Linked DNA regions of Arabidopsis thaliana. The protein of the gene in region 2 purifies or fractionates together with the protein of the main gene of each other region. This does not show direct contact. Each region holds a gene or a part of one and is shown on either strand. Other genes may lie near its edges.

Region 1 (4,729 bases), 5.7 Mb from region 2:
ACGATGCAGAATCACGTACAGTTTGTATAGCTTGGTTCACACATTTCAGGCTAGTTCAAGGTTTGTGGTTTTCTTATCCACTTATTTATTGTATTTGTCCTGAAACAAACAAGCATATATATAACTCTTCTTCGTTCTTTTGAATCTTAAATAAAAGTCATAATAATAGAAAAACATTTCTCATTCATTTGTTTGTGTTGTATATATATAATATTTCTATTATGAAACTGATGGTAAGGTGAACAAAAACAAAATTTTGATTTGGAAAAGTATTATGTTCGTAATAATTGGATCACTGCTTACGTAGTATAATTGAATACAAGTTTGAAAACATTATTTTACTAAAGTATAATCTTTTCAAACTTTAATAGCAATGTTTAAACTGTGTGGTATTAAATATTCATTAGGTCTATGATTGATGATGTAATTACATTAGATTCTAATGTATGTTGGTGGTAAATAGATAAGACTGGCAGGTAAAAAAAAAACAAATTTCATAAACAGTAGAAACATCACCAAAATTGTGTTCATAATAACTGTAAATTGTGTTCATAATAACTGTCTCATTATATATATTTTTCACTTGGCAAATCTCCTATTTACTACGTTTTGAGAAATGATGTTAAGAGAAATGATGATCTAATATAATTAACAAATACTTGAGAGGATGTTTATACAAAAACTACAGAGAATCCAATCCATCCATATGAATAGCAACATTCCACATGCTGCATTACAATCTAACTCTACTCTATAAAGCAAATCGCAACGCTTTCTTCTGCGGCAAACACACAGATTCTAACCCGAGACTGATGATCTCGATTTTACCTTTAGAGGCGTCTGGATTTGTTAGGAGGTGCGTAACCTGACATACCCATTCCGGGATCTTTCCTTCTTAGCTGTTGCTGCTGGTGCGGTTGAGCCATCCCGCGCTGCTGCTGCAGCGGAACACTCGGGTTAAGCCCTGCCTGTGCCGGGAAATTATAAGCCATCATGCCTTGAGATTGCTGCATCCTCTGCATGTTATGTGCAACCATTGGTCTTGGCATCGATCTACTGCCCATTCCATGAGCTCCTGCCATGTTCCCTGCTACGTTTCCTGCTGCTACTGCTTGAGGCGGATTGATGCTTGTCGTGCCTTCGAAATCGGTGTTTGTATCTACTGGACGAGTTGGGTAATTCACATTCTTCTCCATCGGTTGGCTGGCTACAAATGCGTTCCGTCCTGGGAGAGGATCCATTCGGAAATACTCGTGTTCTAGTGCTTGTGAAGCCGTGATCCGCTTTAGAGGATCATATTCCAGCATTTTGGATAACAGATCATACGCAGGACTTTTCTGATTCAGGTGAACCACGTTGTGGAGACCCACACTGTCGTATTTGTGAGCTTGAATGTGTTGAACATCATTTTGCCAGTGTGGAAGGTTAACTAGTGTTGGCCATTTATCCATCGTCGGGTGGCCTAAGATCTTGAATATCTTGTCAAGTTGATCTAACTGGAAAGGGTTTTGAGACGATTTCGCTTCTGCTCCTTGAAACAACGGTTTAAGAGTTAGTAACTCCGCGAATATACACCCAACTGCCCACATATCAACAGCGCTCGTGTAGTGCTTCGAACCAAGAAGCAGCTCTGGTGCTCGGTACCAGATTGTGACCACAACTCCGTTATCCGATAGTGGTTTCAACGGAGCTTGATATATCCTTGCGAGCCCGAAATCAGCTATTTTCACTATTCCGTGCTCTTCTGCATCACCCATAACCAAGATATTCGACGGTTTCAAATCTCTGTGTATAATCCAATTACTGTGAAGATAGTTCAATCCGTTGAGAAGCTGCCAGAGCAAAGACTTAACTGTGTATGTGTTTAACGAATGGCCGACTTTGTCTCTGTGGTGCCTGATGATTTCATAGAGATCGTACTCGGCATAATCAAAGGCAAGATACAGAGACATGTCTGCAAAATTGATGTGGACATTCACAAGCTTCACGACGTTCTCATGGGAAATCTCTCTAAGCAACATGATCTCGCGGATAGCAGTCGGGGAAACTCCATCTCCATCTTTGGACTGCTTAAACTTCTTGATAGCAATAGGTCTTTTAGGCGGAGTCTTGGTTCTAGCCAAGAAAACAAGACCATAAGTGCCTTCACCAATCTTACCAACGAGATTGTACTGTTGCAGCCACTCTGGTTTCTCACTAGTGCTGTTTGAGCTGTTGGATCTACTGGAACTCCCATCTCCCATTGCTTTTTAGTATTATTCTCTACCTCAATGTCCTTACCATGTGAATCGGAAAAGGGGTAGAGTCTAACAAAACAAAACAATCTTGGTTTCCTCTTTGTAGTTCTCCTGAAATTTGAACAAAACTTTGGAAAATCAGCCAAAGGAATCAAACCGTACATGTAATCTATCTAGATTCTAGACTCAATCAAGTGATCCAGAAAACTTACAAGCAAGAAACTTCACAGAAAAAGATCTAGGACTCCTCACAAACCAAATTCCAAAAGGAACGTTTCAAAATTAGCAGACAATAAAATTCACATCCCTCAGAAAACTTCATATGAACAAATTCAGACACAAAGACTCCAAATTATCAGCAATTGACGTCTTATCAAATCTCATATTCAAAATAGAATTCATCTACATCGAGACACGAAAGCTCGAGACTTTACTTCAAAAGATGGAAAAGGGATCAATCAATTCAGCAGAAATTACCAAGCTCCAAAGACCAATAACCAGAGGAAAACCCTACAAATTCAATACCCAGAGCTACGGTGCCCTAACCTAATCAAAGACCAAAAAATTTCGATACCACTTTCAAATTAAAAACTTCGAGGCCTTATACGATCTGTTTTTACATTTCTCAAAAATCGACGATCAGGAAAATAGAAATACGTAAAGGATCTGACCGGATAAGGCGGTCGGATGAATGATGGGAAGAGGAGCTGAGCTTGGAGAACCTCGGAGATGGAGGAGAGTAGACAAAAGCGAGAAAATTCCGGTGAGACGTCACGGAAGGGAGAAGATTGCGTTTTCCAGAAAACGGTGACGTTCCAAGCAGCCGACGCTGAGAATGGAAACTAGATTTGTAATTTTTTTAGCCACTTGCTCCAACTACGCTATTTATTTATTAGTAAATTCATTTATTTTTGTGTTCAAATAAGTAATTTCATTTAAATCATCGATATACATTAGTAGATTGGATATTTCTCATCAAAGATTTAATGATTTATAGATAATTTTATCAAAAGAGAAATAAATTGTGTTTTTTTATATATATGTCAGTTATTAATATTCTTAGAAAGTAGAAAATTGTGAAAAGAGGGAAGAAATTAAAAATATTAACAGTATAGAAAAACAATAAATGTTGGAAAGAAATGAAAAACAGTAAAATTATAAATTTTGTCCAGTTACTACAGTTTTTTTTTTTCCTTTTCACTGTCTAAACAAACACAAATATCAGATTAACAATGACCTTGTCTGAAGATTGTAGCAACTAAAAATAGACCTCAGTGAAACAGGTGTGAAGCAGTCATTCACAAACCAGAATCAAAAGGCTATATTGGTTATAGTATCTCAACAACACCTCGGCTCACGATTTTGCCTTCGTTGAGATCTTGAAATGCTTTTCCTGCATCTTCAAACTTGTATTTACTTGAGACTGCGTTTGTGAGATTGAAAATCCCTGACTCTGCCAATTTCACTACTTTAGGAAGATCCTGTCTTGCTCTTCCTCCATAAGATCCTATAACTTTTATCTTCACAAAAAATTGGAAAAACAGAACAAAAAGAGATTCAATATCATGATCTTAAAAGACAATCTCAGTACCAGAGACTTTCTTCTAACAAGGCCGAGAGAGAGAGAGTAAGAACCCCAAACCTTTCTACGAACAAGTCGATTTATGTCAATTTCTCCAACGGAACCAGCTTGTGAGAGTCCAATCATCACAGCTTTTCCACCATCTTTCACACTTAGTGTGCACTGCATGAAAGTTTGAGGCTTTCCCAAGGCTTCAACAGCAACATCAACACCCATCCCACCGGTTATTTCCTACGAAGAAGAAACAGTTTTTCATATTTATATCAATCAATGGTTCATCTTCACAAATAAGAGGTCTTGAATCAACCATACTCTTATCCTTTCAACAGCATCTTCTTTAGCAGCATTGACAATATGAGTAGCACCAAGTGTCTTGGCCTTCTGTAATTTATCATCCTGAACATCCACAGCAATGATATCCGAGGCTCCAAAAGCCCTTGCGATCTGCAAACAACTGAAGCAACAACTCAAAGATGGTTATGGTCATACAAGAAGCAATAAAACCCAAATCCGGTAAAGAAAAGAAAATGCCACACATTTAACATACCTGGAGCCCACACCACCAATTCCAATAACTGCAATAGAATCTCCAGGACGGATCTCAGCAGCATGAGCCATAGCACCATATGCTGTAAAAACAGCACATCCCAGAATGGCAGATTCAGAGTAGGGCAAAGACTCTGGTAGAGGAGCTAAACCATGAGCTGGTGTAACACAGTACTCAGCCATCCCTCCCATACTATACATATACACTGGTGAATCTGCCAGAAATTAAGAAATGTAATTAGGTAAAACAATCACAGTTCTCCTAATATGCCACCTGATGTTTAAAAAGTCTTCAAATTTACCATCATGTCGCAAAAAGAGACGAGTTTCGCCATCGTAAAGAGTTCCCTTGGCTCTGTTGTAA
Region 2 (4,511 bases):
AAAACATGATTCATGACATTAGAGATGTTAAATCCAATCTGGAAATTAATTAACAAGGTAATCAAATCCAATGAAAACATACAATTAGACATATGAAGCTTAATGAGTCTGAAATCTTCAACAGAGATTCCTCTCTGAGCATCAAGAGGATGAACAACATTAACCTCTTCTGGGTCCTTAAGCTCTTTGCTGTGAAAATAAAACCCACAAAACGAATCAATCAGGAACATGGAAATTGAATTAAAAAAAGACGATCTTTAATCATTGATTGAAACTTACTAGTGCGTCGAAGTCCAGAAATTGGAAGCCATAGCTTCTTTGATCCTTCAACTTCAAAAATACAAGCTTTTTATTTTTATGGTGTGGATAATGAGAGCATAAAGACCACCAAGGAAAAATACAAAACAAAAAAAGTAATAATTCAGTATTTATCTTTTTTGATAGAAAAAAAATTATTTACCAAAAAAAGTTTTTAAAATTCTTATATGAAATCTTTTTTTTTTTTTCATATTTCTCATCTTCATCAATTTGACCTTTGTTTTATTTCACATTTTTGCTTCTACGAGAGGTTTAGGTTTTGGAGAAAATAAAAGGGAAAACAAACCCATTATGATGAACAATTAACAATAATGTTTACTTTAAGATTAATAGGTTTGGTAATAACAGTGTTACATGTTTGCCACAAAGCTAGATGGATGGGCAATTGTGGAAGTCTCTAATCATTTTTTTCTGTGCGATAAGTCTTGGAGATGGAGGTGATTCTCTACAGCTTCAAAGCCAATTTGCTGAAGGCAGAATTCACTTTTTCCTCTGTGATTGTTCTGTAGTTCTCATAGAAGTCCAGTATCTCCATGGCAATATTCTTTACCTGCAACCCATTGCCCCATGTAGAGCTTTCAAAGTCACTAAAGAATACCGAAAATCACGCAAAAGATCATAGCTATTCGCTTTAACTAATGATTGAATAACTTTTAGAAGAATGACTGACCAAGTTCATGTCCTCATGAAGATCTTCAAACCATGCAGTGATATCTTTCTCTCTGTGGACACTTGCTATGTATATGCATGCTAGCGCTATGCGGTAGGGAGGGTGTACAAGAATGAGGTCCATCTTATAAGTATCATTAACAATTCCCCTGAAACACGGAAAATAGGTTTTCAAAATGCTTTTTATACAGGTCAGAGATCTCTTAGATTTTAAGGTTGGAGCTAGGAATTGAGTTCTATGCAATATATCTCATATAGAAGGACTTACCATGTAATCTGGTTCATATTTACATCGTTTAATGCAGCATCTTGCAAAAACCTAGAAATCAAAAGAATGAAGTATTAGAATGAGTGTTGATTTTCTGACCATCAAGGCACACAAAACTCTCACCAAGGAAATATTAAGGTGGTCCAAAATTTTGATATAATGAGAAACATCAAGAACATTGTATGGGAAGACTGCAAGTTTTTACATGTATCATCATTTACACTTCTCCGTTTGTAACCACAGACAATAAGGCAAACATGTTCAAAGCTTCCGAAAAGCGGATAAGAGAGATGAGTGGACATACTCCGATAATGACCGGTAAGGGTGAAACACAACCAGATAATAATCTAGTGCTTCTAACACCTTCATCTCCATTCCTAATATATCCTTTAGTTCATATTTGTTGTACTCATCAGGATCTGCAAAGATATAAGAACCGTTGTCGTCGATATGTCAAAAAAAAGCATATTGAAGGGGAGGTACTCTCATGATTTGAAAAATAAAAAAACAGAAGAAGAAGATATTACACAATCTTTTGATGTAAAAAACAAGATTCCTGGCCTGCACTATGCTTTCTTCAGCTTTAGATGCCAGGTACAAGCACGTAAGAGCAACAAGTCGAGGCTCAAACTCTACCATACTCTTTCTGAGATAGTATAGTAACAAAAGGAAGATATTAGACACCAAAACTGAAAACTTTCGTAACACAGTTAACGTTTTTGATAGCAGAGATGCAACATAGAGAGACACTGGCATGACAAGAATTTAACTCATTTCATTCCTCACATACACAAAGATGCACATTGATGTATACGATCATATCAAAAATACATTGCATACCTGATATAAACCCGTCTCATATACGTAATTGCAGTAGCTACAACCCTACATAAGTAGAAAAACCAAGGCGACGATTCATATACAAGTCCAGGTTACACCAGATATTAGAGCTAGTTAAATCTACAGAAGCAAAACAAAGTAATGGAAGTACTGCAACAGTAGAATCTCTTTGATATAGCAAAAATTGGACCCCCAAATTGTAAAGAACCAACCTTTGCCTCACTTTAATGTGCTGAGCCAATTTCATAATATCTGAAAACAACAATAAATGAAGAAACAAAGAGACATAAACTCAAAAAACTTCTCTGATCAATCTCTAATCAAACCAGTGCAACAGAGACAACAAATTTGCTTAAGTAAGCAGGAGAATTCGAAGAATTAAGAAGAAAAAGGATTTCGTACGATTAGACATATGGAACTTGATGAGCTTAAAATCATCAATTGAGATTCCACGTTCTTTATCGAGATCATGAACTACGTCGACTTCTTCTGGATCCAAAAGCTGTTTACTGTTTCGTACAAACGCAAAAACAAAACAAAAAAATTCGAGAAATTGAAATTAGAAGTTGCTTAGAAGGAGAAGAAGAAGTGAATTTTGATGGGTAAAGTTTTAAAGAACATTTACTAGTGAGATGAATTCCAGAAATTGGCAGCCATTTTTTCCGGTAGACCGTCGAGTCTTTGGTAAGGAGGAGAAGCTTTTTTAGCTCATAAGTTCAACATTTTTCTGTTATCTGTCAAATCTCTTTGGTTGGTGGTCTCATGATCTATCATATCGTTGCTTTTTTCTGAAATTAAATTTAAGGCTCGGCCCATTATCGGCCCAATAGGCAAACAAATGAAAGTATTAACTCTGATATAACATGTTCGTTGTTTTTTGAATAACAGAACATATAGATGATAAAAATTGAAATCTTATAAATAGCTAAGAAGTGACCGAATATATCATTTCGACGAGGTATAATCAGTTTCAAAAGGATTAAATTTGAGTTTGGTTTTTTTCGTCATGATTAAGGCTATAAAAATTCTAGCTTTATATCATCAGCCACACCGAATATTTTTCTCTCACAAGTTTTTGTATCATGTATTGTTCAAACGCTTGATCAGTGATTTTCTTCTAACCATAAGTTTGGGTGTTCATAAAAGAATTTTCAGAAGAACACCACACATTTTTCGTTTGCCTAATATACATGTTCATTTGTTTTATTGAGCCCATACTCCTTTATCAAAACTAACTTTTTTTCTTTAAACATACTAAATTCAAACTAAACTTAGACTAATACATACTCAAATTAACACCCTACATGTTTCTCACGTTCAATATTTGGTACAAGCCAAATAGGTAAACTACAATCTAAAAACGCACGAGAAAAACCGCATGACAAAGGAATAAGCCAAATAAGTTGACTACAATCTAAAAAACGCACGAGAAGAGTATCGATTATCCCGTGTCTAAATTTAATTCCGGTTTTTCGCTATCAAAACAATTCAAGAGGAGTTATTATTCTCTAATTCACCTTATAGAATTCTTTGGGATTATGTGCTAACCCAAGTTAAAATCTAATGTACTCATTAATAAAAGGTAAGTAATATTAAAGTTAGTGGAGAATAAAATCTGTTGAAGAAAGGTGAGGAAGTGCAACGGACCATGTTTGACACGTGAGAGTCAAAAAGGCAATAAAAAAGTCGTCAACACACACACTCTCTCCCCGTCTATATAAACATCTTCTTCACAGTCCCCACAAAGTCCTCTTCCGTTGCCTTTTCGCTTTCTCCGTACACTTGGCCTTCCTTCTAGCGATCAAACCCTAGGTCCCGCCATTGTTGGTCCCAGACTTCAATCGAAGCTCCAATTTCACTAATTTCAGGTGAATCTTCTTCTACTATTTCTCTTCCGTCAGTTTAATGTCACGATTTCGCCGGAAAAATGTGATCTACACTGTTTCGGAGTGAAATGTGAAGTAGATTTCGTTGGTTTCTTAGCTAGTTTGTGCTTTTCTCGAAGTTGTTTCTGTGTTTATTTCATGAAACGATTTTGGGTTGCTTTTGTGAAGTTGATTTTGTTGTTGCCTCTTAGTTCGTTTTCTTGCTTGTTAAGTGTTTATCGAGTCACTATGTGTAGTTCATGAATTACGTTTTCTACGGAAACGATTTTGGAAAGTTGTGTGTGAGATTTAGAGATTTTCTGTTTTTTACATGATTCTTGGGTTGTTCTGTGATTTACATTGATTCTGAGTTTTGACAGTCTTCTATGAATTACAGGTGTTGTTTATTCTCTGGAAGTTGGCGATACAATGGATTCTACTGCTGCAACCAAACGTGTTGTTGACCCACTTACTGTATGTTTTTTCAATTATGGGGTTTCTTCTCCTTTTTACTAGTTGTAATTGTGATTCTTTGTGTGGTTTGTTCTGTT

The links.
Region 1: the proteins of AT5G48640 (region 2) and CDKE;1 purify together in Arabidopsis thaliana (affinity purification with western blotting, with the first as the bait; one study listed by BioGRID). This does not show direct contact.

The regions. Positions count from the first base shown.
Region 1 is NC_003076.8:25,462,815-25,467,543, forward strand, and holds CDKE;1 (cyclin-dependent kinase E;1), read right to left. Parts: upstream 3,109-4,729; 5' UTR 2,909-3,108; intron 2,349-2,908; 5' UTR 2,244-2,348; coding exon 831-2,243; 3' UTR 548-830; downstream 1-547. Other genes in the region: AT5G63620 (GroES-like zinc-binding alcohol dehydrogenase family protein), read right to left, coding at 3,566-3,750, 3,873-4,050, 4,132-4,273, 4,367-4,580, 4,668-4,729. UniProt on the Arabidopsis thaliana protein: Involved in cell differentiation. Required for the specification of stamen and carpel identities and for the proper termination of stem cells in the floral meristem.
Region 2 is NC_003076.8:19,722,890-19,727,400, forward strand, and holds AT5G48640 (Cyclin family protein), read right to left. Parts: upstream 2,860-4,511; 5' UTR 2,753-2,859; coding exon 2,721-2,752; intron 2,605-2,720; coding exon 2,498-2,604; exon of another isoform or gene 2,348-2,497; coding exon 2,308-2,347; exon of another isoform or gene 2,141-2,307; coding exon 2,096-2,140; intron 1,902-2,095; coding exon 1,783-1,901; intron 1,675-1,782; coding exon 1,560-1,674; intron 1,307-1,559; coding exon 1,256-1,306; intron 1,137-1,255; coding exon 989-1,136; intron 869-988; coding exon 764-868; 3' UTR 515-763; downstream 1-514. Other genes in the region: AT5G48630 (Cyclin family protein), read right to left, coding at 83-230; AT5G48650 (Nuclear transport factor 2 (NTF2) family protein with RNA binding (RRM-RBD-RNP motifs) domain-containing protein), read left to right, coding at 4,390-4,434.